6 linked regions of the Macaca fascicularis genome follow. The protein of the gene in region 1 interacts with the protein of each later gene in a pairwise test. Links are inferred from orthologs where the notes say so. Each region holds a gene or a part of one and is shown in the gene's direction. Other genes may lie near its edges.

What was found.
Region 2: the proteins of SPRED1 (region 1) and PIH1D2 interact in binary tests that used the Homo sapiens proteins (3 or more experiments, as listed by UniProt). The link is inferred for Macaca fascicularis from reciprocal best matches to the Homo sapiens genes SPRED1 and PIH1D2.
Region 3: the proteins of SPRED1 (region 1) and IL16 interact in binary tests that used the Homo sapiens proteins (3 or more experiments, as listed by UniProt). The link is inferred for Macaca fascicularis from reciprocal best matches to the Homo sapiens genes SPRED1 and IL16.
Region 4: the proteins of SPRED1 (region 1) and NCALD interact in binary tests that used the Homo sapiens proteins (3 or more experiments, as listed by UniProt). The link is inferred for Macaca fascicularis from reciprocal best matches to the Homo sapiens genes SPRED1 and NCALD.
Region 5: the proteins of SPRED1 (region 1) and CREB5 interact in binary tests that used the Homo sapiens proteins (3 or more experiments, as listed by UniProt). The link is inferred for Macaca fascicularis from reciprocal best matches to the Homo sapiens genes SPRED1 and CREB5.
Region 6: the proteins of SPRED1 (region 1) and HPCAL4 interact in binary tests that used the Homo sapiens proteins (3 or more experiments, as listed by UniProt). The link is inferred for Macaca fascicularis from reciprocal best matches to the Homo sapiens genes SPRED1 and HPCAL4.

What each region holds. Positions count from the first base shown.
Region 1 is NC_088381.1:14,857,599-14,862,397, forward strand, and holds the end of SPRED1 (sprouty-related, EVH1 domain-containing protein 1), read left to right. Parts: intron 1-1,104; coding exon 1,105-1,755; 3' UTR 1,756-4,133; downstream 4,134-4,799. UniProt on the Homo sapiens protein: Tyrosine kinase substrate that inhibits growth-factor-mediated activation of MAP kinase. Negatively regulates hematopoiesis of bone marrow.
Region 2 is NC_088388.1:111,002,649-111,007,929, reverse strand, and holds the start of PIH1D2 (PIH1 domain-containing protein 2), read left to right. Parts: upstream 1-1,546; 5' UTR 1,547-1,769; exon of another isoform or gene 1,770-1,817; intron 1,818-2,949; 5' UTR 2,950-2,980; coding exon 2,981-3,157; intron 3,158-4,238; coding exon 4,239-4,362; intron 4,363-4,713; coding exon 4,714-4,959; intron 4,960-5,281. Other genes in the region: uncharacterized protein NKAPD1, read right to left, coding at 108-176.
Region 3 is NC_088381.1:58,648,412-58,653,807, forward strand, and holds the start of IL16 (pro-interleukin-16), read left to right. Parts: upstream 1-1,695; 5' UTR 1,696-1,818; coding exon 1,819-1,858; intron 1,859-5,396. UniProt on the Homo sapiens protein: Interleukin-16 stimulates a migratory response in CD4+ lymphocytes, monocytes, and eosinophils. Primes CD4+ T-cells for IL-2 and IL-15 responsiveness. Also induces T-lymphocyte expression of interleukin 2 receptor. Ligand for CD4.
Region 4 is NC_088382.1:111,293,703-111,298,501, reverse strand, and holds part of NCALD (neurocalcin-delta), read left to right. Parts: intron 1-1,801; coding exon 1,802-1,907; intron 1,908-4,799. UniProt on the Homo sapiens protein: May be involved in the calcium-dependent regulation of rhodopsin phosphorylation. Binds three calcium ions.
Region 5 is NC_088377.1:101,859,986-101,865,364, reverse strand, and holds the start of CREB5 (cyclic AMP-responsive element-binding protein 5), read left to right. Parts: upstream 1-1,755; 5' UTR 1,756-1,811; intron 1,812-5,379. UniProt on the Homo sapiens protein: Binds to the cAMP response element and activates transcription.
Region 6 is NC_088375.1:195,215,325-195,220,077, forward strand, and holds the end of HPCAL4 (hippocalcin-like protein 4), read left to right. Parts: intron 1-898; 5' UTR 899-906; coding exon 907-1,068; intron 1,069-1,336; coding exon 1,337-1,552; intron 1,553-2,847; coding exon 2,848-3,045; 3' UTR 3,046-3,807; downstream 3,808-4,753. UniProt on the Homo sapiens protein: May be involved in the calcium-dependent regulation of rhodopsin phosphorylation.

The sequences.
Region 1 (4,799 bases):
CTTTCTCATTTTATTGCAAATGGATAGACGTAGAACGTATCAAATCTTCATGTTCTCTTCCTTTTTGCTTAACAGTTTCTTCTTTCAATTTCTCTCTCTCCTCTCGAATGTTACTATAAGCAGCAAGGAAAAACTAGACTACACCTTCAACACTTTGCTTAGAAATATCTGCTAAATATTTAGGTTAATCACTCACAAGTTCTACTTTCCAAAAAACACAAGAACACAATTTAGCCAGGTTATTTGCTGCTTTATAACACAGGTTGCCTTCCTTCCAGTGTCCAAAACATGTTCTTCATTTCCGTCTGAGATCTTACCAGAGTCACTTTTAAAGTCCATATTTAGAAGCAACAGTCTCTTCAAGGCTCTTTCTAACATGCATCTCAAAATACTTTCCACCTCTACCCATTACCCAGTTCCAAAACCATTTCCACATTTTTAGGTATTTGTTAGAGTGACACCGCACTTTGACTAATACTGACACTAAAATCAGTATTAGTCAAGGTTTTCCAGAGTAGAACCAACAGGATAGATGGATGGATGGACGGATGGACGGACGGACGGATGGACGGACGGACGGATGGACGGACGGGCGGGCATATGGACAGACAGATGGGCAGGCGTACGGACAGACAGATGGGCGGGCGGACGGAGGGATGGATGGAGGGAGGGACGGACGGACGGACGGACGGAGGGACTGACAGAGGGACGGGCGGACGGATTTTATTTTAAGGAAATGGCTCATGCAATAGTAGAGGTACAGATCCAAAACCTGCAGGGTAGGCTGTCCTGGAGACCCAAGAAATAGTTGTAGTCTGAGTCCAGAGGCACCCTGCTGGCAAAATTTCTTCTTGCTCAGGGGGAGCTCAGCCTTAGTTCTAGTAAAGCCTTCAGTGGATTTCATGAGGTCCACCTACATCACAGAAGGTACTGTGCTTTGCTCAGAGTCCACCAATTGAAATGTAGATCTCATCCCAAAAACATATCATGGAAACATCCAGAATAATATTTGAACAAATATCTGGACACTGTGGCCCCACCAAGGTGACACATAAAATTAAGCATCATAGCCCTCATTGCAGTTTTTATCTGTTTCTTTTTTAGGTCCCTTTAAAATCAATCAGACATGTCAGCTTTCAAGATGAGGATGAGATTGTCAGAATAAACCCTCGAGATATCTTAATACGTCGCTATGCAGACTACAGACATCCTGACATGTGGAAAAATGACTTGGAAAGAGATGATGCTGATTCCAGTATTCAGTTTTCTAAACCAGACAGTAAAAAATCAGACTATCTGTACTCTTGTGGGGAGGAGACTAAGTTAAGTTCACCTAAAGACTCTGTGGTATTTAAGACGCAGCCTTCCTCATTAAAAATTAAGAAGTCAAAACGAAGAAAAGAGGACGGTGAACGTTCTCGCTGCGTATACTGCCAGGAAAGGTTTAATCATGAAGAAAATGTCAGGGGAAAATGTCAGGATGCTCCAGACCCTATTAAAAGATGCATATATCAAGTTAGTTGCATGCTCTGTGCAGAGAGCATGTTGTATCATTGTATGTCAGACTCAGAGGGAGATTTTTCTGATCCCTGTTCGTGTGACACTAGCGACGACAAGTTCTGCTTGCGATGGTTAGCCCTGGTAGCTTTGTCTTTCATTGTACCATGTATGTGCTGCTACGTCCCTTTGAGAATGTGCCATCGCTGTGGTGAGGCATGTGGTTGCTGTGGTGGGAAACATAAAGCTGCTGGATGAAATGGTCCAGTGCCAAAATGAGCTTAAAATCTTTGTTTCCAGGAATTAGCTAACTTGGATTTGTGGAAGCTTTTGGCAAGCAATATGGAATCTTGCCTGGTATCACTGGGGCCACACATGGAGGAAGCAGAACTCATCAGTTCTTGGCGTTTCACGCCATGCCTAACTTTTCCCTTGAGTGCATGGCGTATTTTGTTACAGGTTGTAGAGTATTTGCAGAAGGAAACCATTTCTGGTTATTTGGCTATAAAAAGTCAGCATAAAATATGATCCAACTAAAAGGGATTAATTTTTTGGCATTTTTGTATATTTATGCATTAGGTGATGGGACTTTTAAAGGTTTGAATTTATTAGGACATGAACTAAAAATAAAAGTGCACTAGGGGACAGTTGATTTCAATTTAAGAAAAGTTAACACTTGGCAATTACAAGAAGTGAAACAAGTGCAACTAAATCATTTATTAGTTGTTTTTTGAAAGCAGTTTTATGTATAAATAACAAATGTTTATATTTAACTAAATGTAAGGTACGAATTATTACATATTAAACTTTTCTTCCCCTTCCTAGTTCTGAAGTAGATATATATATATGTATATCTACTGTCACATTCCATATATTTTGAATATTTAACTCATCTAGTTAATAATGTTTTTATTCCATGTGAATGATTTGATATTGTCATCCTTATTTCTCTTTGGCTACAATTTATATTGAGTTATATCTGTACATTCTGGTAATCTAAAATCCTTAAAAATACTCTAATAGCCTTGAGTGACCAACTTTTTTGTTAAAGCACAGATGTAATTGTCTAATGTTTTGATGGGAACGTAACACTTATTTTTATATAAAAAGACTGAGTAAACAAACATAGAAAAAAAGTGAAGTTTTTTAGTTGTTTTTGTGGTATTCAACCAGCAAGTTGTTTTCTTTCAGAGTTTCCTCCTTCAAAAAATTATATTGCATTTACAAATGTTTTACAAGGCAGAAAGTTTGACTGGATAGTCAGTGTAAAAGCTTCCTCTTGAGATCTTCATTTATCATTCTGCTAAACCAGAATATGTTCAGCTGTGTTACTAATTTTTTAGCTTAATCCTCAGTGCTTATTATTTACATAACAATGATAACTTTTTATCAGTTACATTTTATTTTTATTTAAACTGGCCAAAAGCAAAATTATTTTATGTTAAAATGTGTGCTAAACTATCCCAGGAAAGTATTTAATCCAACATTGTAAATGAAGTATCTTGTACATATAAATGTATTTCTTTTGCAGAGCATTATATTACTGGATGTTTAATTTACAAAATAGTTGGATAAATGTTCCAACAAACCTTAAAGTACCTTGAAGTCAGATTGTCTGTTTTTGTTTTTGTTGTTGTTTTCTTAAGTGTTACATTAAAACTCTAACCAAGGAAAGGGTTCTTTAAGAACATTCCCTTAGAGGGATAAAGTTGAGAAGTGTGCCTTTTTTTTAATGGCTTGAAGTTTCAGAGGTGATAAAAATTAAAATCACACTACCATTTGAAGCTCATTTTCTATGCAGGTTTTTAAACATCATTTATGTATCGTTCTTTTTATATATCACACTTAAGCTTGTGTTAGCTTTTTTCTTTTGCCCCAGATCAAATGGAACAATGTATATAACACTATCTGTCTGTAAAATACTTTTTTTAAGAAAGCATTTATATTTATATGACAGCTTGAACTGACAACATTGTGTATATAGATCATCTTGAAGTATTATTTCACATTGAAAAGAAGAAAAATATATTGATAACTATAGATGTTATGAAGAAGAGGGTATTTCTAGTTTTGTACTAAAAATCAATTGGATGAACTAAATCCAAAACATGACACTGTAGCAGCAGTTTTAAGTCTTATTTTTACTGTTTATATATTTGAATGCTGCTACAACAGATGATCTTCATCCCTGAAGTTTTCAGCTAAGCTTGGTTTCCTAGAATAGACTGTTAACTTTCAAAATTTTTATTGGTGAAATGGAAATACTGTTTTTCCTTGTGAATGAATTTTCATATTTGTAAGTGCTAAGTTTATAATTCAGGTTTGATCAAGGTGTGAATTACTGAAGAAAATAACTTGCTGGCTCTATAGGAAAATGCTGTGGAAATGAACTGTGTATATACTTCTGGGAGGAACAAATTTAATCATTTCTTCTGTTAAGCACTAATCAGTATAGTGCAACTCCTGGTTCTGTACTGTATTTTATATGCAACATATATGCTTTAATATTTTAATGTTTGTGCATTAATATTTTCAATTTGTTTAACCACTTTGCTGCTAAGATTTTGCCGTCCCATTCCCATTTTTTCCTTTACAATTTTAAACAAGTTTCTTCATTAAAAACTATGGTGATGAAATGGTTTTTATTTTACCTTGGATCTTTATAGTTAACATACCCAGTTTCTAAATCAGTCTACAAGACTAACTGATGATATAATGTTCTCTGAATCCCTATGTGGAAATTTTCTTTTGAGTAAATTAGAATTCCTTTGTGAAAGCAAATGGGTAGTTTAAATCACTGATTCTTAAACATGTGTATAGGCACCTTCAGGAACATTTTCTCATTCTCTGTACAGATTCAGCACTGCCAGTTGGCTTTTCCTCTAAAACTTTTCTTTGTTTTTGTCTGATATAAGCAGATGGCTCAAGACAGCTGCTTCAGTAATAGGATTGAAAATGGAATCATCTAGATGGTATGACAAGCAAGACTGGTCCGATGAACTTGTTTTGTTCAGAACTGATAATTCTTAAATGATATTTTTCCTGGCTTGAAAAGGGACATCATTTGATTTCTGAAGAAGTATGTCGTGTGGAGCTTCAGCACCACCTACTGGATGATTTCCAGGCCAGAGACATGAGATGGCAATAGGGATCTGACAGGGTTCATCACTACTACCATTAAAGGGCTATTTATATGGTGACCACCTCTACCAGGGAAACCAGGAATAAGAACTATCTCAAATGAATTGTAAAATGGTTATTTTCCTAATGTGTCTTGTTGGCTTGCTGAAAGATTTTAAGCA
Region 2 (5,281 bases), on another chromosome or scaffold:
CTAGATGACAAGAATATTCTTTGTATCTCCCAGTTGTGCCAAAATAATGCTTGGCACACTGCTTACTTTCAGTAAGCACTGAGGAGTAACTAGGTTGTACCTCCCACCTTATTGTGAGCATCTGTGTGCCGGATGACATTCCTCAGGAGAACTTTCCCCAGTGGAATCCGGGACATTCTTCAATCTGAAATGAATCAACAAATAACGTTTAGTAATAATTTATTTTATTACTTTATCTTTTCTTAAATTTTATAAAGAAGCATGAGGTAAAGGAAAGATCACTGAACTAGAAGTCAAAGATCCTAAATAATAGTTTTCCCTTTACCATTAAAAGAGGGAAATGCCTAAACACACTAATGTGAGATGAAAGGAGATAATGTACATTAAAGTTCTTTGAAAATGCACAAGACTGCATAAAATTAAGTGCTTTCATGAGCACCATTTTATTTAATCCTCATAACTATTTTTTATATGAGGCAAATATCTCCATCCCTATTTTGTAGATGAAGTTCCCTTAAACTTGTCATGCCCCAAGCCACATAGTCCCAGGCAAATGATGTATATCAATGTCTAGATTAAAAATCAAACCTCCAATCCCAATATTAGTTTGCAGTGAAGCAAATACGTAGATTTGAGAGTATCAGGAACCACAGGTGTCAACAGTAACAGAAACTGATGACTCAAAACATCAAATGCAAAGATGTCCTAAACTTCTCCATTTGGGAGCATTTTATTTCCTACTTGGTACGGAAGCTTCCAAAAACTAGATGACAAGAATATTTTCGTGTGTAGCTAGCACGGGCTTTGTGCAACCACCCCAACGCTCACTCACCCCTTGATCCTGAGGAAATCAGGCATCTTGTTAGTGAGACGAAGAACCACTCCATTACAAGATCTCCTCCGACCCAGGAAGCCAAGGAGTCAGGGCTCAAAGGCAGCTCTGCAGCTTCACCCGAGTCCTTCGTGAAAACGCAGCCTTCCCACTGGTTAATCTGCCCTCACCTGTGGCCCAGGCCACTGCCGCCTTTCCCCCAGCCCAGATCGACAGGCAGATCTCTCTCGCGGACTGAGGCCGGAGACTGAGCCGGCGCGGAATTCGGACAGCCCGGTTGACCCGGGCATTCCCCCCTCACGCTCCTCTGGGACGAACCCCGGGGGTAAGTTTCACTCCCCAGAAAGGATGGGAACGCTTTGGATGGCTATGGCCTTCGGTTGGGCGCCAGGAAGTATCTAGGGGGCCTGAAGCGGGGGTTGAGGTTTCCAAGTGGAAGACAGAGGAAATATCCCCATCTTTGTCACCGGGATCCCTGTCCCCCAGCGGCCTCGGAGCTCCCGGTAACCTCCCCTCCAAACGCCCTCCCCACACAAATACACACAAACACACCCATACCGTGCGCCGCTGCCTCGCGTGGCGGGGGGTAGGGGGGAAGAAGCGGTTTGGGAGAAAAAGGAGGAGACTTCCTTCTCAGGCCGGAAGTGGTGCTCCTGAGAAATAGTCCCACCAACAGGCAGCCCAGAGACTCCCAGAAGGGAGGGTTTTCAGGACACTCCAGAGGTTGACGGGTGCAGAAGGGAGGCGGGCGCTTTCCTGGAAGAGAAGTGGATCGGGCCCAACTGAAAAGCAAGCCTGGTACCAGAAGGGGGACATTCCGGAACTAGATATGAGGAGACTTTTCTGCCTGAAACTCCCCGGACCCAATTAGATGTTGTACCCAGGCTGGTTACCCTGGTAACAGGCGTCGCGGTTTGTCAAGGAGCTGAGAGAAGAGGTGGGTTTGCCAGCCTATAGAATGACTACCCGTTAGAACAGAGAAGAGGTGGGTTTGCAGACCTATGGAATGATTACCCGTTAGTTAAGCTTCCCATTTAGCGTAACCCTTACACAGTAGTTGAAGAATCTAAACCTTTTTGCCTCGTTCTAAAGATGCTGTGGGACACCTCTCCAATGGGAGAAGAGGCTCTGAAGACGTAGAGAAGTGTCCCAGCCTCTCTATTAGCTTCCTTAATCCTCGCAATAACCCTATGATAATATAGGTATTATCGTCTTCATTTTGAACAGAGTAAGAGGAATATATATATATGTATATGTATGTGTATGTGTATACACACACACACACACACACACACACACACACACACACACACACATTAATTGCTCAAGGTCATACAGCTAGTGAGAGATAGAACTAAGACCGGAATCTAGGCATTCTGGCTCGCAAGTCCATGCTTTGAATTACTAAACTATAATGAGGATTAAGGAAGTCTCATGTGGCCCTCACCCCATACACACCTCTGGCAATTTCAGAACTGGGGAGCCACCAGTCAGTGAGGTGTTGGAACAAGAAGATCAGGAAACCCAGATTTAAAATGATTGCTCTGACTTGTCAGGGTCCAAGTAGAAGTAAAGTCTTATCTGAGAGGACAATGTGAGAATTTAGGAAGAGGTACTAGATAATTAAAGAATAAGGAAAACATAAAGTGGTGCTGCTGATCCACAATCTTTTAGACACAAATGCTAAGTCCTAACTTCACCAAAACAATTCCTGGCCCATTCCGCCTCCCCAAAGCAGAAATGAATCAACAATTACACAGGGCCGGGCGTGGTGGCTCAAGCCTGTAATCCCAGCACTTTGGGAGGCCGAGACGGGCGGATCACAAGGTCAGGAGATCCAGACCATCCTGGCTAACACGGGGAAACCCCGTCTCTACTGAAAAATACAAAAAACTAGCCGGGCGAGGCGGCGGGCGCCTGTAGTCCCAGCTACTTGGGAGGCTGAGGCAGGAGAATGGCATAAACCCGGGAGGCGGAGCTTGCAGTGAGCTGAGATCCGGCCACTGCACTCCAGCCTGGGCGGCAGAGCGAGACTCCGTCTCAAAAAAAAAAAAAAAAAAAAAAAAAAAAAAAAATTACACAGACAGTTTTCTTCCCAAAGTCATGTCTTTCCACAGGCTTAAGAAAATTATTCACCACTCATCAGTCATGGAGACATCCTCAAAGGGTCTGCTCACCCAAGTTACTCAATTTTGGAACCTCCTAGATGATCTAGCTGAAAGTGACCCTGAGGGCTATGAGAAGTTTATTCAACAGCAGCTGAAAGAAGGGAAACAGCTCTGTGCTGACCCACAACCACAGCTTTGTCTACAGACCAGGATTCTGGTATGTCGAGTTGGTGCCAGGGATGGGGAGGTCTTGAATAAAATGATCCCAGAGTAACCACAGAATACTTTGCACTTAGGCATTGCTTTTTTTTTTTTTTTTTTTTTTGAGACAGAGTTTTGCTCTGTCACCCAGGCTGGAGTGCAATGGCATGGTCTTGGCTCACTGCAACCTCCGCCTCCTGGGTTCAAGCGATTCTCCTGCCTCAGGCTCCCAAGTAGCTGGGATTACAGGTGTGCACTACCATGCCTGGCTAATTTTTGTATTATTAGTAAAGACAGGGTTTCACCATGTTGGCCAGGCTGGTCTTGAACTCCTGACCTCAGGTGATCTACCCGCCTCAGCCTCCCAAAGTGCTGTGATTATAGGCATGAGCCACCGCGCCCAGCGGACTTTTTTTTTTTTTTTTTTTTTTTTTTTTGAGATAGGGTTTTGCTGTCGCTGAAGCTGGAGTGCAGTGGCACAATCACAGCTCACAATCACAGTTCATTGCAGCCCAAACGATCCTTCCACCTCAGCCTCCCAAGTAGCTGGGATCACAGGTGGGCACCACCACACCTGGCTAATTTTTAAATTATTTTTGTAGAGACAGGATCTCCCTATGTTTCCCAGGCTAGTCTCGAACTCCTAGGCCTCAAGCGACCCTCCTACCTCGGCCTCTCAAAGTACTAGGGTAACATACGTGAGCCACCACCCTGGTCTGGTTTCCTGATTAAAAGCCAGCAACCTTGGGGAAATCAAGTAACAACAGTATAATCAAACACAATTTTAATACCTAGGCTGCAGTGCAATGGCACAATCTTGGCTCACTGCAATCTCTGCCTCCTGGGTTCAAGCGATTCTCCTGCCTCAGCCTCCTGAGTAGCTGGGATTATCTGCCACCACACCTGGCGGACTTTTGTATTTTTAGTAGAAATGGGGTTTCACCATGTTGGCCAGGCTGGTCTCAAATTCCTGACCTCAGGTGATCCAGGCACCTCGGCCCCCACAAAGTGCTGGGATTACAGGCATGAGCCACCATGCCTGGCCTTAAATGGTTTTAAACTAGGTTTTGAGATGTGCAAAATTATTTGCTTTCCAGAAACCAAAAGAAAAAATACTTTTTATCAACCTGTGTCAGTGGACAAGGATCCCACCTCCCCAATCAGCCACTCATCCAGTACCTCTAACTGTTGGCAAACCAGAAGATACAACTGAGACATCAGGTACAAATAATTAAGGGAGAGAAAGCACATTGTACAAATTTTATTAGGAATGGACAAGATTTTACTTGGTTGAGAGCATTTCAAGTAAAATTCTTTATTTGGTGATAACAGAATTACAATTAGTGTACCTTTATGCAAATTTAATAGTTTAACTTTTGTAATAAGATGCGGTTTTAATCCATGTAAAAGTGCCAGGAAATGTCATAATTGCTGTAGCACTACTGTGATTACCTCTGAAAAATACAGGAATATTCTCTAGCTTTATCAGGAATATGGTTTAATATATTGCCTGACAGTATCATTAGTGCAACAATTTATCTTCATTTCATACCCTTTCATTTACACACACAGATGCTTACACGGTCATTGATGTTGCCTACAATCCTGATGTTCTTCAGGCAGCAGAAAAGAACCAAGTGGAAAAAAATCAGTTAATTCAGATGGCCATGAAATGCATTGAGGAGCAATTCCAGTTCACCCTTTCACACTCTTACCATATTACCAAATTTAGAATAAAAGGAAGCATTCAAAGAATGAAACAAAATCTGATGGGAATCCAAACTGATTCCATAGATTTAAGAGAAAAAATGAGAAGGGGTAAGTTGATGATTGTAAATGGAAAATTAAACTGCTTTAAGATTTTTTTTGCATCCTTGTATACATTTTGAAAACTAGAAATCTCTATTTTAAAAGGTGAGAAACTTAAGATAGAAAAATGTAAATATTAGATATTAGAAATATCATATCCTTGATTTTTAAATCCTGAAAAATTTGCAATCAAATTATTTAGTTTAAGATTCTTTTGGCTTAAGATTCCCAAACTAATTTAACTGCAGCTTTATCTACCATCTCTACTAACACCACATATATTACAGCTCATGGTATTTTATGTTGTGGATTTATTTTTTTATCTCCCCTC
Region 3 (5,396 bases), about 44 Mb from region 1:
TTTTAGTAGAAACGGGGTTTCGCCATGTTGGCCAGGCTGGTCTTGAACTCCTGACCTCAGGTGATCCACCCACCTCGGCCTCCTAAAGTGCGGAGATTACAGACGTGGGCCATGGTGTCCGGCCTCACATCATCTTAATATCTGCAGAGTATTCCCAGAATTTGTCTAGCCTATTGCCTGTCGTTGCTGCCGTTGGGTACCACTAACATGCAAGGCCAGTTTCTGGCCCTCACAGTGCTCCTGGCACAGCTGCAGCATCCTGCAGTTTCAGAGTCTGGGCAGTTCATTCAATAATCAGAGTAAGGAAGGGCCACGAAGTGCCAGTGTGGGGTCCCCACCTTCACCCAGGGGTGATGATGGCTCTCAGGGAGCTGTTCTGACTCCAGGTGCTGATAGCAGAGTTTCTCTGGCAACCTGTAGCACTGCCTTGAGAAATGATTATCTAAAGCATGTTTGCATGGGGGTGAGGGGTGCGGAGGGAATAGGAAAGTCACAGTGTCTCGGCAGTGGATTGAGCAGAGTGATGGTGATGCCAGTGGCCATGATTCTTTGGAGCCCTGAGTGGTAGCAGAGGCACCACGGCAGGGGGTCCATCCCAAAAACACCTGGGGCCCTTGGCTGGTGACAGATAACTCAGGGACTAGACCAGGATCTGTCTCACTTGCTTTCCTGGTAAGTTTTTCTCTCTCTATCAAACAGAGCAGGCTTTCCCTTCCATTCAGTCTCACATTGCTATGTCCAGAAAATCATCACACTCTTCCACTAGAGGGGTGGATATTACTTTCTCAGGTTTCAGTTCTGTTTGCCCACTCACTGTATATTCTTTTGGTCTTTCCAACGGTGATCCAAGGATTTATTTAACCCAGCGGTCAAATTGGTCATTTTAAATAATAGTACATCTTGTCCAAGTCCAAAAATAAAATGTCCTGGTATGAGAAGGCAAGCAGAGGAAATTGGATAGAGTAGGCTGAAAACATTTTACAGCACCATTACCCAGAGCCCAAATCCCTTTTTCATTTATCCCTTTTTTGTCCTGGCATGGCAGGAGTCAGAGCGCCTTCTGTTTGTGTTGATTAAAGTCTGCCTCCACCTTCCCCCGAGCCCAGTTGCCCTTCTCAGGACACAGGCTGCATTCACCATGGGTCTCTCTGCCCAAGCTCTTTGCAGATTTTATGAAAGGCGTTTTCACTTGGATTAAACAGGCACTGTGTTTGTGTGTGGTGTGTGTGAAGGAGAAAATGAATCACTTCAACTTTGGGCAAGGATTTTAGGTGTTGTGTTTGTCCCATGCAATTACATAAACACACCAGAACTCATTAAAAAAAAAAAAAAAAAAAAAAAACACAGTAGAAGAGAGGGGCAGAGATTCAAGTGCTTGCGATGATCTAAACAGTGCGGCACATTTTCCATACATTAGACCTCAGAAAGGGTTGTGTTCTGCCCTCTCACAACAGACTCCAAGTCCAAAGGAAAGTTTGAGGTTTTACATTTCTGTTTGTGGTACAGGAAAAGGCTTATGATCTGAGGGCTTGATTCAGTGAAATAACATTGCCTTTATACACATTTGCTTCTCAAGGAGGGCAGGAGTTGGAAACGACCGTTGTGAAACGTTAAAGATTTTCTGGCAGAGGGAAAGGGATTTTTTTTTCTCCCTCCCTGCCGAGGAAAAAAACAGTTGTAACGAGGAGTTACTTTGTAGTTTTAACTCATATTCAAATACTCCCAGTCGAGAAGCTGCCATCGACCCTCCCATGGACCCCTGATCCTGGTTTGGAGGAACTTTTGACAACTCTCTCTCCCTCCTTCAAACCCTGTGTGATGAGTTTGCAGAAGAGAGTCTTCCCGAGAAGGCAGAACGGTGAGTGGAGCTGCTTCTCCTATCCCAGGGGACTCAGGGGAGGTTGGAATGCAGGGGTGGACCCTTCCTGACGACCTCCCAGGGGAGTGGAAGCATGGTTTTGGCCACACTGTGTAGTATATGAGTGAGTGTGTCAGTGGTGTGTGTGCTCACATGTAAGTGTGTGGGGGCACACATGTGTGCTGCAGTAGGACACAATGCCTGTCTTTGCAGAGGCTGGCTGAATGCTTACCATGTGCTTGGCAGAGAGTTCAGGAAGGGCAATTGCAGGACCCCCCAGGGATGAGAGTGAACCCTGGCCAGGGCAGTGGCTTTCCGTGTGCCCTGGCTTCCTCTTCATGGGGCAGAGGCATCAGTGTCTAAAACGCTGTAGCTGTCAGGGTCCCCACCAGCTCCGCTCCAGTTTCAGCAGAAGCAGAGCGGAAGAGGGAGCTGCTCAGCTCCGGGAGAAGTGAACGGAGCGCAGGTCTCTGGAGAAGATCTGAGAACTGGGAGGGGCCTCCATCCAGACCCCCTACCTTCCTGCAGGTACAGCCCAATAGATGAGAGCATTTCTTATTACGATCTTCTTCCTTTGCTCTGGAAACATAAACAGGCATCAGAGCAAAACGTTTTAACCCTTCTGCCCAACTTTTAAAGTTAACACTGGCGAAACTTCAGGTCCGTTGCAACTTTGGCATAAGAGTTTTCCTTAAAAAGGAGAAGTAAGCAAGTCAAAGGCATATTCTGACTTTTCTAGCTCCAGAAAGACATGGCTGGAACCCTGGCATCCGCTTGCTTAGGCTGCATTAAGGCATCTGCTGAAGTCTGAAGAAAGGCAGTGGGGTATAGGGAATAAGAACCTGGGCCATGGGGCGTGGCCACCTGGGATGGAATCTTGGCTCTGAAGGTAACAGGCTCCTTTATCTGGGAAAAGGTTTTCAAAGGCTCACTTTCCTCCTTTGCAAAACGGTGGTCATAAATTCTTACCTCACAGGAAGGCAGAAACAATAACTAAGATAAAGTATGTGAAATGACCCAAATGGCATGTACATATTCAGAGGACATGTCAGCTCTCCTAAGCAGGCTGCTCCCCTGTTCTGAAACAGCAACCATCATAGATATACAGGCTTGAGGATGAAGAAAAGAGTACTTGAGGGCCCAAAGTAGCCCTGGCTCTTTGTGTAGCAGAAAGTGGGGTGAGCATTCAGGTGGTCTCCCTTTGGAGGCAGACGACATGGATGCATTTACTTCCACTGGGGATCTTTGAGGCTGGGACTTGACCTGGTGTTTACTAGGTGCTCAGTGTTTGGTGAAACCATTTTATTCACTCTGATTCACGGGGAGGTCTTACCACTTCCTACCCTGGCTGCACTGCCTTTGGTTGCGTTTCCCTGGTAACAGATGGTGAGACAGAGATTTGCACATACAAAGTTCATTGGTGTGTGCTCTGGGAACAACACCAGTGTGGGGTGAGGGAGGCGGAATCAGACAGATGGAGAAGTTGGGCTGTGATGCAGTTGCAACACCGGCCTCAGCAGATCCAGGGGATCCTGTGGGGTTTTGTATCCCTGCAGTGACCAGTCATTGCTTGTGGGCTGCCCCTGGAACCCAGGCATAACCTTGGGCGAGGCAGCTGTCTTTGGCTGAAGGTAGTTTCTGGAGAGGGACTCAGTTGTGAGTTGTCACAGACAACCCTATGCCAGCTGTGGGAATGAACGCCTCGGCCCAGGGTTGAGGAGCTTATCTGGGCGATGCCCCATCATCTACTCAATACATTTGATGCAGTCCCTTCTTTTCTCTGAGTTAGGCTGTTAGAAGATTGGGCATTCACATGCAGGGACACCTGTCCAGTTAAATCCTTGCATAGCAGTGTGACTTTGGATAAGCCCCTTTCCATATCTGGGACTCAGTGTCCCCGTCTATAAAGTGGATGGAAGGGTGTTGGACTAGAGATGGCCCCTAACAACACTCCAGCTCTGCTATTTCACATATGCAGATTCTGAGCATGTGGCCATGGTGGTTGGATGTGTCCTTAATAATAGTTGGGTCCTGTGGTCTCCACCGTAGGTGCCTTGACTCCTGCTGGGAAATATGAATCGAGATACCTGGGGATCCTTGGGACTTGGCCAGCTGTCAGCAAGGAGGGGCTGGGCCTGTGGGAAGCAGAGGGAGGCTCTGCGTAGGGCTGGAGGGTGGGGCATAGGGTTTGAGGAGGATTCTGCTGCACACCTTCCCCCACACTCCCACAACATTTCTCCCCCCTCAAAAAAAGTAAAACCACATGAGACACTGCCATATGTCTTTGATAGTTAAGAGCTATGTAATGTTGCCCGGGACAAACTTGGATGTAGTTTTATTACTCTCTGTCTCCTCCTAATTTCCTATTTACTTTTCAATATACAAAGAGTGAAATCACTTTCCCAAACACTTGGAATTCATTTTCATTGCTTTTTTTCTTTTCTTTTCTCTTTCTTTTTTTGAGACAGGATCTCATCTGTCGCCCAGGCTAGAGTGCAGTGGCGTGATCATGGCTTACTATGGCCTCAACCTCCTGGGTTCAAGGAGTTCTCCCACCTCAGCCTCCTTAGTAGCTGAGACTACAGGAGTGTGCCACTATGCCTGGCTAAATTTTATTTTTTTTGTAGAGATGGAGTCTTCCTATGTTGCTCAGGCTGGTGGGCCACTATGCCCAGCCTGGAATTTATTTCCAATAAATTTATTTAGAATATTCTATGCTTCAAGCACTGTGCTGGGCTCTGGGGATCTAATGGGACACATTAAATAAACAACTGTATGCACATAAATATAACGGCAAAGAGGGTTAAGTTCTATGGGAGGCTGTACCAGGGGAACTGGCCTAGTCTGGCAGATCAGTGTGGGGCTTCCCTGAGGAGGTGCTATTTGAGTTGCTTTCTGAAGGGCGTGTGGGAGTTATGCTGGGGCAGGGATGGAGAAGCAAACAGGCGAACTGTAGAATAGGGATGGGAAAAGAAACGTGTTTCAAATCTTACCAGCTTAACCTAGACACTGAGTTTTATAAGGGTACATCCATCCAGTCTGTTTTTCTTGCAGCATCTTAAAAAAATTATGGTGACCTGTTAGCTAAGGGAATAAGAGCTTTTTGCTGGTGGGGCAAGGTTCTGCCTGTGTATCAGCCAGTTGTCTCTGTTCTCCACATCTGGATCTGGCAGCCAATCCCTGAGTGTGCATCTGTCATTACGAGGGGCCTTGCCCTGAACCCTGGAAACCCTCAGTAATAGCAGCAGCTCCCTCTTCCTGAGTGCTTTCAGCATTAGGCATTGATTTAGGACCATCCTTCATGAGCACTGACTCATTTGACCTTACCTACAGTGCTGTGGGGTACATGCTGCTGTCTTTACTTCACAGGTGAACCAAAATGAGACACAGGGAGTTCAACCAGGTGATGAGTGGCAGGACAGATTTGAACGCAGGCGAGTCTATTACATTCTAATGCCTGTACTCTTGGCAAGCAGTATGCAGCTGAAAAAGCACAGTGAGCCTTCTGCATATCCATACTGCTCACATGCTGATGCTT
Region 4 (4,799 bases), on another chromosome or scaffold:
TCCCCTCTTGTCTCCAGAACACACTTTGGTGAGCATTTCTTGGGAATGAAATGGCTCAGCTTACCCCAGGGACACTCATAATCCTAGACAGCACCCTAACTCTGTGCTTTACCTCCCAGAACAAGTCGCCGCGGAGTCAGCTCTGGAGTTCAGTAACCACGTTGGGTGGGTTTGAGACAGACTCAGGGGGCCTGTCCAGAGGCGTCCCTGAGGGATGGGATCAGCCTAAGGGCCAGAACACTGGGTGAGTCCGTTTTCATTCTTATTTGGACTGAGATTAGAGTACTCACCCTACTTTATCCAGAACGCGTAAGGGACTTCTGGCAGGGTTGGTCCTGAGCAAGACTGTAAAGCAACTCGGTTGAACCTTCAGTGTCTTTTTCTGCTCCCGCCTTTCCCATTTGGAGGTGACTCCCCACAGCTGCTTTCCTTTCTCTGTCCTCTCCACCTGCCTGGCTGCCCCTAGAGCTCCAGAACTTTCTGAAATTTTCTGCCTACTCCCTGTCAAAATTTATTTTTTCTAAAACTTGTCCCCAAGACTAAGATGCCCAAAGTGACTCTGATTAGGAAAGTCATGATCTGGGGATAAAAACAATGACTTTTCATTCCTCTTCCCAAATAAAAACTACCTTCGACCACAGAGGCCTTTGGGCCCTTGCTGAGTCCCATGTGGAGGTCACAGGCAGTGGGGTGATAGTTTCAGTAGTGCTTACAAAACTCCACAGAATCCTCTTTCGCCCATCAGATGTCATAGCTGTACCTAGTTTAGCTCAGGCCTGAGGTTGTGTAATAATTCAGAGCTCTGATGGCAGGTGGTTTCCATCTCAGAACTACCTGGGAGCTTGCTGAGAAGGAACGTGAGACCATTGTCACACACAGGGGGAAAAGCACTGGAATGGACTGGAAGTCTGCCTGGGGGGAACATATGGCACACACTTACAGAGTGTCACATGTCTGTCATCCTTGAGGGGTCATTGTGGACTCTCAAGGGTCCGTGATAGGCATCCACTTACCTCTCTAGCCTGAGGAATGTCATCTGCAGCCTTGCTCCTCAAAGTGGGGACCTTACCTCTCAAAGCAGGGTCTTTAGAACAGCAGCATCAGCATCACACCGGAGCTCATTAAAAATACAGACTCTCAGCCCCGCCCCTTCCCCCAGCACTACCCAATCAGATTCTGCATTTTAACAGGATTCCCAGGGGATTTGTGTGCACATGAACAATGGAGATGGCTAGGAGAGGTAGCTTATGTCTGTAATCCCAGCACTTTGGGAGACAGAGGTAGGAGAAGCTTGAGCCCAGGGGTTTGAGACCAGCTTGGGCAACATAGTGAGACCTCGTCTCTCCAAAAATAAATAAATAAATAAATAAATATATAAATATATAATTTTTTAAAATTAGCCGTGTGTGGTAAGGAGTACCTCTAGTCCCAGCTGCTTGGGAGGCTGAGGTGGGAGGATTGCTTGAGCCTGTGAGATGGAGCCTGCAGTGAGCTGGGAGTGTGCCACTACACTCCAGCCTGGGTGACAGAATGAGAGACCCTATCTCAAAAAACAAACAAAAAACACTGGAGACACAGGGTCTTCCTGCTGGTTGTCCCTCCTGAAGGTCCTCACGGGAGGAGAACAAGCTTTGTGGGCCTAGCTTCTTCTACCTGTGCCGCCACATCTTATACCAATCAGCAGGGATAGGACTAGGTCCAATGCGGATGGGGACATTCCCTTCAACCCGCATTTGGGAGGTTTAATGATTGTGTGCCATACCGTTTTTCTGTCTTACCACCATGTTGCTTCTGTCCCCAGGCAATCTATAAGATGGTTTCCTCCGTAATGAAAATGCCTGAAGATGAGTCAACCCCAGAGAAAAGAACAGAAAAGATCTTCCGCCAGATGGACACCAATAGAGATGGTAGGAGGCGGGGGCTGCACTGCTTAGCTCAGATGAGGGTTGCTGGAAGGACTGGGGAGTCCATACTGGGAAGTGCCACTTGAGGTCCTTCATGCGAGTGGCTCATCCTCCAAGCCTCCCGAGTGGGTAGGAGGGGAGAGGACCAGGTGGCCACAGGAGAACTGAGCCCAGAATTGTGGGAAATGCCTTATTTCTAGTCTTTTCTATCCTCCTTGTAGGTCAACTTCTACCTCCAAGAAAATAGAATGGATCTTGTGGGGCAAGAATGAAAGGACCCAAGAAACCATTGTTAGCACAGACCCATCCTTGGGACAGGCTTAGGCCACAGCAGGCTGGGGCCCTGCAGTCCAGGTCATCAAAATGGGGAGAGGGTTGTTATTCTGTTGTTCTACCCAGGTGCTGACAGCCTTCACTCCAGCCTGCCGAAGGGGTTTTGTTGGAGTCTCCTGTGCATGCACTGAGATGTTGTGTTTCCCAGAGACAGTGGGCTCCCACAGTCACTGGGGTGCCAGGGCTAGTGGTGAGGGAGTAAGGTGCCCAGCAGGTTCCCACCCGGATGGTGCCACCCACAATTCAAACCTAACAAAGTGAAAAAGAGAGTTGAATTTCAAACTTAACAGAAGGATTTTGGATCTTAAATTGCCAGAGAGAATACAGAAGGCCCAATTATCCTTGAATTTCAGATAAACAGCAAACAATTGTTAGGATTAGTATGCCAAACTAAAAAAGTCACTTGCTGTTTATCTGAAATTCAAAGTTAACGGGGCGTCCTGTATTTAATTTGCCAGATCTGGCAACGCTATTTAAATGTTATACTTGAGTGAAAAGCGCTGAGCTCAGGGCCAGGCTCTGTAGCTCTTGCTGTTATTATCAGCTCACCCGATCTGTTCAGAGGCCCTGGCAATTCTTGTCAACCATGTGCACATGCACTTGGGCCCCCACCTGGCGCTGATCTACAGAACAATAGAAGCCTTCGCCATAGAGAGAGCCTCTGTCTCTTTTTATCCCCCGCCCAGGTAGAGCTGCCTGAGAATCTGGGTTTGTGTGGTATGGGCCAATCTGCTTGCTTTGTTTCCTCCACAAAGGTGCCATTCCATTTTGAAACATCCTATGTCCCTTTATTTGCTTTGATTTACAATGAATAGTTGTGACTAAACAAGCATGGGATTATTTTAATTAACTTGTTGATATTAAACTGCAGATTTTACTGGTACTCAAAAGCACAATGGGTTTGTGCTGTGCTCTAGGTCCGGACACCTCTTTAGGATAGGGCTAAAGGATGGGAGAAGATCAGATGTCACAGGATAAAGCCCTAACTCTGTGTTGATCGTAGGCAATGAATTAGGCTCTCTCCATTGGTTCTTTGCTGCTGTAGGATCACAGAGCCCTGATTGAGTTAGCATTCTCAGAGCACAACTCACTGCTAAAGACCTGTGCCCTTCTAAGGGAAAACCTTGTGTTTAAAATTAAATTAAATTTTCAAAGGTTAGGGTTGGGGGAGGAGGGTGGGAGCCATAGAAGGAAGGAGGAAGAGGGACTGTAAGTTCACAACTCTCAGAGAAATCTTAGCCCAACCAGGGGATGGGGTGCTTCAGCTCAGTGCTTGGCTACTGGACCCCAGAATTATGGCCACCTGCACCCCTCCCTGTCTAGAGCAGAGCAGACCTCACCTAGAGTCTCCTACCCTTAGATTTAGCTTACCTGATGCTCTTGGGAACTAACCTCTGGCCTCTGATTCGAAGAGAAAAATCTGGGCCCACAGGCAAGTTCTCCTAGGAACCAACTCTGAAGCATGCAGACAGTTAACTGAAGAAAGCCAGATATCATGCCGAGCTCCAGGTCTGCCCCTGCTACCTCCAGCTGGTGCCTCCCAGAGCCGACCTCTGAGAGATTGCAAAGTGTTCGGAGACCACACCAGTCTCCCTTCTGTCATGCCTTGCCAAGCTGGAGGAAGTCATCACCATTTTAACTACTGTGGACAGGGCAGGACTCATAAAAAATGGCCAGAACACAAAGCTTGGCGGGGATCAGCTCTACAAATTAAAAATAAATTAATAAATACATCCCTATGTTTTTCCTTCATGGAGATAAAGTGGGTTTCGTTAAACAAGAACTAGGTTCTGGTGGGGAGGGAATTGTGGCTGAGGAGAAGATATGTTTGTTGGTGTTTCTGTTGGGGGAGGCCCCCTCCTGTCAGGTTTGGAATAAGTTGGAAAATAAAAGAGGACAGAGGTCAAAAGAGAGAGAGACACTGGAGGCTATGGCTTAGCGTGAGAGTCCAAGGGCGTGCTGAAAAACCCACAGGCGTGCAGAGCCAGGCAGGCCAGGTGCTGCCCTTGGAGGAGCAGATGGAAATAAATCCTCTCTCGTGCAGCTCCTTCCAAGAGAAAAAGGGAGGGCAAGGCTGGGCGAAGATGCCTGGCAATTCCTCCCAAATTTACCAATCTAGCATGTCACTTCACTCCCAGGGGCGAGGTAGGCAAACAGGAAGGGTCCTTCTGGAAGCACCAGGAATGGGGAAAGCCTTGCAGTCCCCCCAACTCCTACCCCACCGCCCCCTCCTCTCCTCAAGTGACAGAAGGGCCTTCCTGGAAAAGAATTCCATACGTGCCCCAGCGTGTGCAGAAAGGAAAGGTCACCGGGGTCTGAGTGGGAGCCCAGGCTGCTGAGCCTCCCTCCTCCAGCCATCAGGGTAGCAGGAGAGCACCCTAACGGAGAGGCAGAAACCCATGGGTTACCCTCCGCCTTGAACACATACCCTGCTCTTCCCCTGACCTCAGATGGAGGCACAACTGTCTTCCCGTGGTGTTTGTATAAACAAACACTTATGTCCACGACTTCTTCCCCAAGATAGGATGGGCTCTTGCAGCAAACCTAAGAACACAGAGTGGC
Region 5 (5,379 bases), on another chromosome or scaffold:
TTTTGTCGTTCCTTCAGGACTACATGTGGAAAACACTAAGTAGAAAACTCAGTGATGAACTCTGAATAAGGCTGTGAGGATCAAACAGTCATCAGTCCCTGTGGTTTCAAGGAACACTAAAGGGCAAGGGGCCATTTAAACACTTAAAAACAGAAATAACATGCTAAGCTCTTCCATTTAGTATGTCAAAACCAGCTCAGAAGTATGTGACAATCCAGGCAATGTATTACAGTTTCTAGCCAGTCCAGTCATGATTCTCTGGCAAACTGCACCGTCATGGTTGTGATGCGTTGGGATGAGAGGTACTATATAAATGTCAGATGTTACATAAATGTCAGAAATGATTATTGTTTATTAACGGGGGCTAAACTGTTTCTAAGCAAAGCTCCAACTCCCAGCCAATGTGTTCTTAGCAGAGGTTCCAACCACCAATAACCCACAAGAAGGGAATGTTTACCCCTGGCTCTATGAAGGAGCCCAGTTGGGATCTGGGCTTGAAAACAGGGATTGAGGTGGGCCCAGTGCCACCCCTTGCTCATCAAGTGATCTCAGGCCAGCCCCCTAACCTTCTGGTGTCTGCCTTAGCTCACCTGTAAAATGGGGATAATTATAATACCTGTCCTACTTATGGTACCCGGGTTGTTGTGAGAAACAAGGGAATTCACGTGGTTGCAAATGCTTTGTAAGGTGTGAGGGGCTGCGAGGTTGGCACTGGTCGTCTAGAATCGGGCTGGATTTAGTCTATGCCTTCTCTTTGAATCCTACTCAAAGGGAGAACTTCTGAAAGGAAATTCAGCAGGGGAATGGTGACAGTGATGGTGACGGCCGGATGCTGGAGACGCCAGGCTCCTCTCGCTGCAGACCAGGCGCCCGGATCCTGCAGTCTGGCCCTGGCTCTGCCGCTTCCCAGCCCGTGAGCTTGGGCCAGTTACCGAAGAGGCTCTGGAAGTGACAGCCAAGGGCCCTTTCAGCTCTGACGCCGTGTCTAAATCAGGCTCATCACTTGGCTCTAGCTGTGATTCACCTTTCGCCTTAGGAGCAACTCTCCCTACAGCTTCTCAGACGCACGAAGCAGGGGTCCCGCGAAGGGTGGGGGCTGTGTATTTCATGAGAGTGTGCACCATAAGGAAGTTATTCTCCTGGAGGAGGTGAGATGGGGGGCGGTGAAGAAGGGGTGACAAGTGAGTGCTCTGAGAAGCCAGGATGCAGGGAACACTGAAATGAGGTCATGACTGTCGCAAGCAAAAAGGAGCTGGACATCCTCATTGGGGGAGGGAGGAGCGTCCTGCATTTCTGTTTGCAAAGCCTCTTCCCACATCCTTCAGCATCCCCCTCCCCACCTCTCCCCTAACCCCCATCCCTACACCTTTCAAACCCCATCAGGCCCTCCCCGCAGAACAGCCCACGCCCGCGCCTCCTCCGTGGTCCTGTCTGAAACCATAAGGATTGTTTCCAAGCTGACTCACACCACTAATGTCAGGGAGCCGTGTCACACGGCGCTGGGCTCTGCAAGCTGTTGCTTGCGCAGTCGCCCCCGCCGCTGCCGCTCCCCGGCGGGTGCACCAGGGTCCGCGCGGGCGGGGCGGGGTCTGGGCGGGGCCGGGGTGGGGCCTGCCCCCTCGACGCGCCGGCCCCGCCCCTCGCTCTGTCCCTCCCCAGCGGACCGCAATGATTTAGAAGTTCAGGAATCCCACGTGACGTCACCGGGGGGGTGATGTAATGCACTCTAAATAGAATGTATTGTAATCTTTGCTCAGTCCAACGTGGTCCCTTCACCCGGGCTCCGCTCTTGCCTTCTCCACACTTGTTTGGTAAGTTCCTAAAAATACGGCTCGGCCACTTCTGGGGCTTTTGCATTTAGCCACTTTTGTTGCACTTGCCGCGGGAGCCATCTCGGGAGCGTACTTGTTTGCAGGGGTTGGTTCTCGGCAGCAGCCGCGAGGTTACTTGGTCCAGTGGGCAGGTCACAGGGCAAGGAGTAGGGAAGATGCGATGCATTTTTTTCTGGAGGGTGATCTGTGTTTGTAAACATTTTGGCGGACCAGAGGGAAGTCCGGCCCCGAGTGCTGGTAGACTGTGGAATTCGGCTGTGTCCTGAGGCCACCCCAGAGACCCCGCGCCGAGTGAGTGCCGGAGCGCTCGGTGGCCGCCGCGCCGCGCGCCTGGAGGGATGCTAACGTGGAGCCGGCGCCGAGTCCGCCCGGCGTGCGTGCGTGTGTGGGAGCGCGCGAGTCCCCTGACGCGGGGACCAGTTATGAATCGGGGGTGTGTGTTTGCCTCCAGAGACCTGGCAAGGTGCGGAGTCCTCCAGAAGTGCGGTCAAGCGGCAGCGGAGACGGCGAGCCAGGAACCTCCCCCCGCGTCCCCAGCTTCCCAGCGTGGCGGCGGAATCCCCGGAGAAAGTTTGCAAACTTCCAGCGGGCGCGGCGAGGACTCCGGGTCACCTAGGGGGCGGGTGGGCGCGCGCGCAGGGGGCTCGCTCTCCCCGGTGCGGAGCTGCCGCTGCCACTTCTCCCTTGGGGCTGCTGGCTGCAGTGGGTTGGCGCGCGCCCGGGGAGGGAAGGTCGCCCTTGGAGGGCGCTTGGCTTTCGCTCCAGGCACTCCGGGCTGGAGAGCGGCGAGGCTCCGTCCGCTCCCGTCCACTCCTCCGGCCGCCTCCTGCCTCCGCTGCTTTCTCGCTGGCATCATTACCTCTTCCCGGCCGCTGCCCCAAATGACAGCTCCGGCTCGAGCCTTGGCGGCGCCCAGGCAATTCCCAGGACCCGGCGGCGGAGTCTCCCCCTGCGGCAGATTCTCGGCAGAACCACTTGAACTTTTCGTGAAGTTCTTAGAGGGGCAAGATGCGAAGGAAGGAACCAAGGAGATGTTTTCTCTCAGCAGCTGCATCCACTTCTTTGCCATAGAGTTGTTTTTAAGGGACGTCTAGTAGATAAAGCCCCAGACCTTGTCCACACTCTCATCCCCGTCCCCAACTTTCCCTGGACCGGTGCCGCCCCCACTTGATGCTTGTTCAAGGCCGGGGTCTGGAGCGGGCTACTTGTATGTTTCGTTGTCAGTCTGCAGAATGTGTTTGATTTTTATTTTTCCCTCCTTCTCTGACATGTGTCAAGGAATAAAGGCTGGATACAGGTCCATTACGTCATTCTGCAGGCCAGTAAGTGTTTGATTAACGGCTTGAGCTCCTCAAGGGTTCAGGAGCTTAGAATGCTGACAAAGCAACTCTGCTGTGCATCCCCCTACCCTCCTCACAACACACTCGTGCAATCGCCCCCTCCCTAGGCATCTTTATTGCCCTCTCTTCCCAACCCCTCCCTCTCCACCACTCCCCCGTCTACACCGTTATCACTCTAGCCCCGGCCCCGCCTTTTACAGCTTTCCCTGGAGCGAGCACAGTCCCTGGAGTGTGGGTAAAAGCTTCTGGGGTCTGAGGGGACCACTGTACCTGATCAGCGCGCAATCTGCCCTTTTGTATTATTTAAGAAAGGCACCAGCAAGCCTTCTCCTCTAGAGCGAAAATGCTTAGTCCTGATAGAAAAGGCAAATCAGGAAATGTTTCCAAGCGTTATGATAATACTCTGTCCTCGTGGTGGTGACTTAGGAAGGCAATACACCCACTGCAAACAAAGTACTTCACTTTACGTAGTGCCTGCCCTTCAGCAGAAGAGGGAAGACGAAGAAGCCAGGATGCTGACAAAATCAGGTTTAGCTGAAAGGATCAAGACTAAACGTTTCATTTCCAAAGTAAGGGAATATGAGTTGTTGAACCTAAACTTCCATACAATAAATTGGTGTGTGCGTTAGTTTCTAGCTTTTAACCTTAAGTTTCTATGTTGAAAGAGGAAGTTCAATACGTAAGTCATTGAATTGAGTCAGAACCTCCGTATCTGGCAGTTGAAATAAAGACCCTGTGTATGACTTGTTGCAAGGGATCAAAGTAAAAAGAACTCTTGGCGGGGGGGTGGGGGAGGGAAATGTGCAGAAATTAAATTATAAAAGTATTAACAGAGTTTTGGATAGAGCGGGAGAGGGAATTGGAGTGGTTCCTGATTTGGAGTTGGTGAAAACTAAATAAAGAAATATTTATATTGCCAATATGAGGAATTTCTTGAAGAACACATGTTTTCTTATAATTAGATCTACTTTCTTCAAAGTGAAAGCCATGCTGTAGGGTAGACATTTGTGAAACTCCTGTCTGGGGTCTAATTGACATACTTCCCCAAGTTTGTGGCAGGATTTAGTATTTATTCACATCTAGAGATGAAATAGTGTAACCTCCACACAATATGTGTGCATCGAAAATGTTGAACTTCTTGTTTGTGATGCATAGACTTAAAGGAAAAAAAAAATGGCCCAGTCATGGGCACTGGAAAGTGTGATTAATGATCAGTGATTTAGTGATCAGTGATTAGTGGTTTTATTCAAACTGTTACCTCTGACCAGAAGCACACATCAGAGGATTAACAGGCTCTTTAGATAAATGCTCATTAGTGGAAGGGGAAAAGCAAAGATAATAGGCATGCACCCAGGGACAACTTTCGAAGAAAATCATTCCCGTCTTCAGAATAATAAGCTCTATTAACAGAAAGCCCTTTTAATTTAAAACTTGCTTTTATCTTGTAAATCAAAGTTAGATGTAAAAGTTTGTAGTGCCATTATAACCTAAATTTTCCCATATCCACTAGATGTGGATTATCTCAGTAGCGATATTTTTTTTTTTATTTAAATAAACAATTGGACCTTTAGAGCAGCTGAACCCTGACAAGTTCTTAACTCCCAGGGTTTGAAAGTGTCCCCCCTTCTAGCATGGAGATTGCAGCTTGCTAACTAGATGGCGCACTGTTATTTGGTGTTCTCTGCTGCGTAGTGCAGGAGTAGAAACTGAGCATGTAGCTGCTTGCGAGGTGTTCTTCAACATTTACAACAAAGTTGATTCTGTGTAGGGTTGGAGGCTAGACAGTTCTACAAATTTTTAGTCACATTTTCCATGTCAGTTAAATCTAGGGAGTTCAAGGCTACTGGAAAAATTAGTCTCATTACTAAAAGAAACTTAGAGAACGAGGGAGGTACCAGAGTCTAGGAGGTACCTCTGGGTTGCAGAAGTAATTGTAAAATACCAGACCTGTTCTTTTTACTAAGAGCTAGTTTCACAGTCTTCTGGTCTGAAATACTGAGGCAAATACTCAAGACTTATTTTCTTCCTAATCTTGCTGGTGAAACAGAAGTTACTAGAAAGAAAGGAAGAAAAACCTTGATTTGGTGACTGCAGGAAGCAACACGTTGCTGCTTTTATTCTACAGATAATGGTAAGGATGATGTTTATCATGCTTATTAAGCAGAGAGAAAACTTTGCACTTAGTTAAATAGAACCAATGTTGTGTT
Region 6 (4,753 bases), on another chromosome or scaffold:
TCTCATCTCAGCCTCCCAAAGTACTGGGATTACAGGCATGAAATACGGTGCCCGGCCTGGAGAAATTCTAAAACATATACCTTTTCTTGGGTCCCCAGTGACTCGTTCAAGACTGGGCATATCATAAGCATTCTGTAAATATTGTGGAATGAATGCAATCTTCCCAGTCCTTGCTTTAAAAAATTCCAGGAGCGTCTGTTCCCTCCAAATTTCTTGGCATGGGTTGGAGGTCCTTTGTAACCAACCATCTGCCTCTTTGACCCAGTTACAAGTTATTGAAGGTTGGCTCATGTCTGCTTCATCTCCATCACTGGCACAGGGCCTAGCACACAGTCAGTCTCAATAAATGCTCAGGGAATGAATGGATTAATGAGAAGCCAAATGTCAGTAGAGGATTTCTACTTGTACAGAGAAAAGAGGGAGAGAAGCTCCCTACTGGGGTGGCCCAAGAAAGTCTTGAGGTAGAAATTGGGAGACAGTGCCAGGGGGACACACAAGGAACCTGCCTCAGGTCCCTTCTCAGGACAGAAGCCTGCCAAGGAGGGTGGGGGCTGACTGCAGAAAGCCCAAAATGGCAAGGAGAGGAGTCAAGGTCTTAGTCTGTGGGCATGGGAGCCATGGAAGGTGTGAGCCGGAGGGGAGAGGATGAAGACTGTGGAGTGCTGCACGGTTAGTGAGAAGGAGAACTGAGACCTGGAAGGCGGGAGACCTGGGGGACCAAGAGAGGAAACCTGCCTGAATGCAGGTGTTGTGAGGGGAGAGAAGGCCCAATTATGGGGGAGTGTCACGAGGGGAAGGAACCTGCAGCCCCACCCTGTGTGTGGCAGGGGAGGGGGCAGCTGTGGCTGAGGCAGGGCCTTGCCCTGGACCCAGTCGGAGGAAGCCCTCTGTCCCGCAGTCCCCGCCATGGGGAAGACCAACAGCAAGCTGGCCCCCGAGGTGCTGGAGGACCTGGTTCAGAACACTGAGTTCAGCGAGCAGGAGCTGAAGCAGTGGTACAAGGGCTTTCTGAAGGACTGCCCCAGCGGCATCCTCAACCTGGAGGAGTTCCAGCAGCTCTACATCAAGGTGGGCGGCCGGCACCTGGGGTGGCGGGAACCAGGTACCCGGGGTGGGAGAGGCAGGGCACCCTGGGGTGAGCGCAGGCGAGGCACCCGGGGTGGGAGGAGGCGAGGCAACCAGGGTGGGAGGGGAGGCGAGGCACCTGGGGTGCGGGGGAGGTGAGGCACCCGGAGTGGGAGGAGGCGAGGCACCCGGGGTGCAGGGGAGGTTCCCTGGGGTGGCGGCGGGCTGGGCGGAGCTGTTGCTGCGCCCTAACCCGCCGCACTCCCCTCAGTTCTTCCCCTACGGCGACGCCTCCAAGTTCGCGCAGCACGCTTTCCGCACCTTCGACAAGAACGGCGACGGCACCATCGACTTCCGGGAGTTCATCTGCGCCCTGTCGGTCACCTCCCGCGGCAGCTTCGAGCAGAAGCTCAACTGGGCCTTTGAGATGTACGACCTGGACGGCGACGGGCGCATCACGCGCCTGGAGATGCTGGAGATCATCGAGGTGCGGGGCCGCGTGGGCGCTGCTATCCCCGAGGCCAGCGCTTCGCCGCCCCCGCCCCTGCCTCCGCGCTGCTCTCGGTCCTCGGGGCTTTCCCGCTGCTTCCAAGCCTGCGATCCAGCCTCCTACCACCCCGCGGGGGACCGCAGGCCCGGGCTAAATGCTTTACCCGACACTCGACGGGGGGTGGTGGTTACTGTCCCAAACCCCATTTGGCAGAGGAGGAAACGGTCGCGGGTGGTGGTTCCTGAAACCAATCCAGGGAGTCTGACCTCATAGCAGATGTTTTTAACTCATTCTGTCAACAGGCAGGGATTGAGGGCCTGCCAGTTCCTGCTTTCATGGGGCATTCCTTCTAGTAAGAAATTTAAAAAAAAATAAATGAAGGAAGACATGCGGGGTCAGGCCTTAGGTGCTATGAGGAAGATACATTAAGCAAAGTGCGGGGAGAGAGCATGATGGAGAAGTGACTTTGTAAAAGGTGGAAAGTTAGCAGCAGCCTGAACGGGGTGAGGCCGTTACTGCTAGATGCCTGGGGGAGAGCGTTCCATGCTGAAGGGCAATTAAGGCAGGTCGGCCTTTCTCTGCAGCGTTCAAGGAGGGGCCAGGAGGCCCGGTGGTGGGAGAGCCACGAGAGGGAGAGAGTGACAGGAAGGTGGTCATACGGGGAGCCAGGAGCCCCATCAGTCAGGTCTCCTAGTTAGGAAACTTCCATGAAGTTGGGTTTCTGGCATGTTTCATCTACATAAATATTATTTAGTCTAAATAAAAAATGAGTTGGGGGCTGGGTGCGGTGGCTCACTCCTGTAGTCCTAGCACTTTGGGAGGCTGAGGCCGGTGGATTACCTGAGGTCATGAGTTTGAGACCAACCTGGTCAACGTGGTGAAACTCCATCTGTACTAAAAATACAAAAATTAGCCGGACGTGTTGGTGCGCTCCTGTAATCCCAGCTACTCGGGAGGCTGAGGCAGGAGAATCGCTTGAACCCGGGAGGCAGAGGTTGTGGTGAACCGAGATCATGCCATTGCACTCCAGCCTGGGCAACAAGATCGAAACTCTGTCAAAAAAAAAAAAAAAAAGGAAAAAGAAAAGAAAAAAGAGTTGCTCATTAAATATCCATATCCAGTCTTAATGACCACATATACCTTCCATTATCCTAACCACCCCCCAGTGTTCTCCTTGCCAGATCCCTTTCCTTCACCCCCTGCTTCTCAGGGCCCCTTGTAGGTGTTTGCACCTCCCCCCTTCTCAGGGCCCCTTGTGGGTGTTCACACCTCCCTCCTCCTTCCCTCACCAGGCGATCTACAAGATGGTGGGCACCGTGATCATGATGCGCATGAACCAGGACGGGCTCACGCCCCAGCAGCGTGTGGACAAGATCTTCAAGAAGATGGACCAGGATAAGGACGACCAGATTACACTGGAGGAGTTCAAGGAGGCAGCCAAGAGTGACCCATCCATTGTGTTGCTGCTGCAGTGTGACATGCAGAAGTAGAAGCTGGTGAGGGGCAGGGTCCCTGGCCAGAAGGAGCATGGCCACCTCCCAACCTGATGACCTTTCTGGCTGGCCTCCCAGGAGGAGGGACACTCCACCCCCCTCTCTGGCCCACCCAGTCCTCTGCCCAAGCCCCTCCTCCCCTCCATCAGGATCCCTGAGGGACCACCTTACCCTGCAAAAGAGACAGGTCCTCCGGTATCCTGTCTTCTAGCCCCACCTCACACTTGGCACAGAACCAGCGTCCATTGGGCATAGGGGAGTTGGCTTTTGCCCCAGGAGCTGAGGTTAAGGAGTTGGGGGCTTGGGGTTCTGGTTCAAAATTCTCTTGATCCTGGGATTATGCTTTATAGAATGTGGTCCCACCGGCCTGTCACAGGGCCAAATTGGGTCTGTCCACTCCTGAGGCTCCAGATCCCATAAAGGTGGTCTCTTCCCCATTCCTTCTACTCTACCTGGCCCTTCCAGCCCCAGCCTTTGGAGCGTTCATTCAGTCCTTTCTTCAGCTAGTGATTATTGAGCACCTGTTCGGTGCTAAGGATATGGTCGTTTACAAGACACATCTTGTGCCCTCTGGAAGCTCATAGGGTTGTGAGGCAAACTTCCAGCTGTCAGGGTCTCAGCTGAGCAGAGGGTGCTGGAAAGCTGGTTAGTCTGGGAGGAGCTATTTCATCTTCCAGCTCAGCTCCACACAAAGCTGCAGAAGGACGAAATGAAAAGCATTTGGAAGTTGAGCCACGTGAGTGAAAGTTTTAAGAAAAATGAAATTTATGTAATACTTATTTTTTTAGTACCCTTTAAAGGAGCTACAGTCATTTTATTATTTCAGGAGGTTTAAATATACTCTATATTACTTGGTTTCTTATAAAATGATTAAATGAATAGAGAAAATATTAATTTTTAAGGGGAAAAAAACTGAGAAAAAAGGGAGAAAAGACCATGAAATTTACCAGATAACACTTTTTCAGACTAAGTCCTGAGCTGCCACGCTCAGCAGTTTTTGCTGCTTCAGCTCTTCCTTTTTATTACCTTTTTCAATTCGACAAGCAACTTTCTATTACATACTTACTCAGGTTGGATGCTGACTTCAGAGACAGGAAAAAACAAGGTTTGCAAAGAGTGAGACAAGTGTATATCCCGAATCTTGGTAGTTCTTTTTTTTTTTTTTTTTTTTTTTTTTTTTGAGACGGAGTCTCACGCTGTTGCCCAGGCTGGAGTGCAGTGGCGCGATCTCGGCTCACTGCAAGCTCCGCCTCCCGGGTTCCCGCCATTCTCCTGCCTCAGCCTCCTGAGTAGCTGGGACTACAGGCGCCCGCCACCGCGCCCGGCTAATTTTTTGTATTTTTAGTAGAGACGGGGTTTCACTGTGGTCTCGATCTCCTGACCTTGTGATCCGCCCGCCTCGGCCTCCCAAAGTGCTGGGATTACAGGCTTGAGCCACCGCGCCCGGCCCCGAATCTTGGTAGTTCGTTTCTGAATTTGGTTTAGTTTCAGAACCGGACTTGTTCCTTCACTGCCACAGAATCAGAAGGAGCTCGAAGAAAAGGCTCACCTGGCCACTGTTTAGGCACCCAGACAGAATTTATGGACCAAATGCCTAAAAATGTGCCAGGCATGCTCCGTTCGAAAGGCTTTTTCTAACCCCAAATCTTAGATCTGCCAGGTAGTTCATCATCTTCCAAGTGCGCTGGCTCTGCTTTCCAATGCC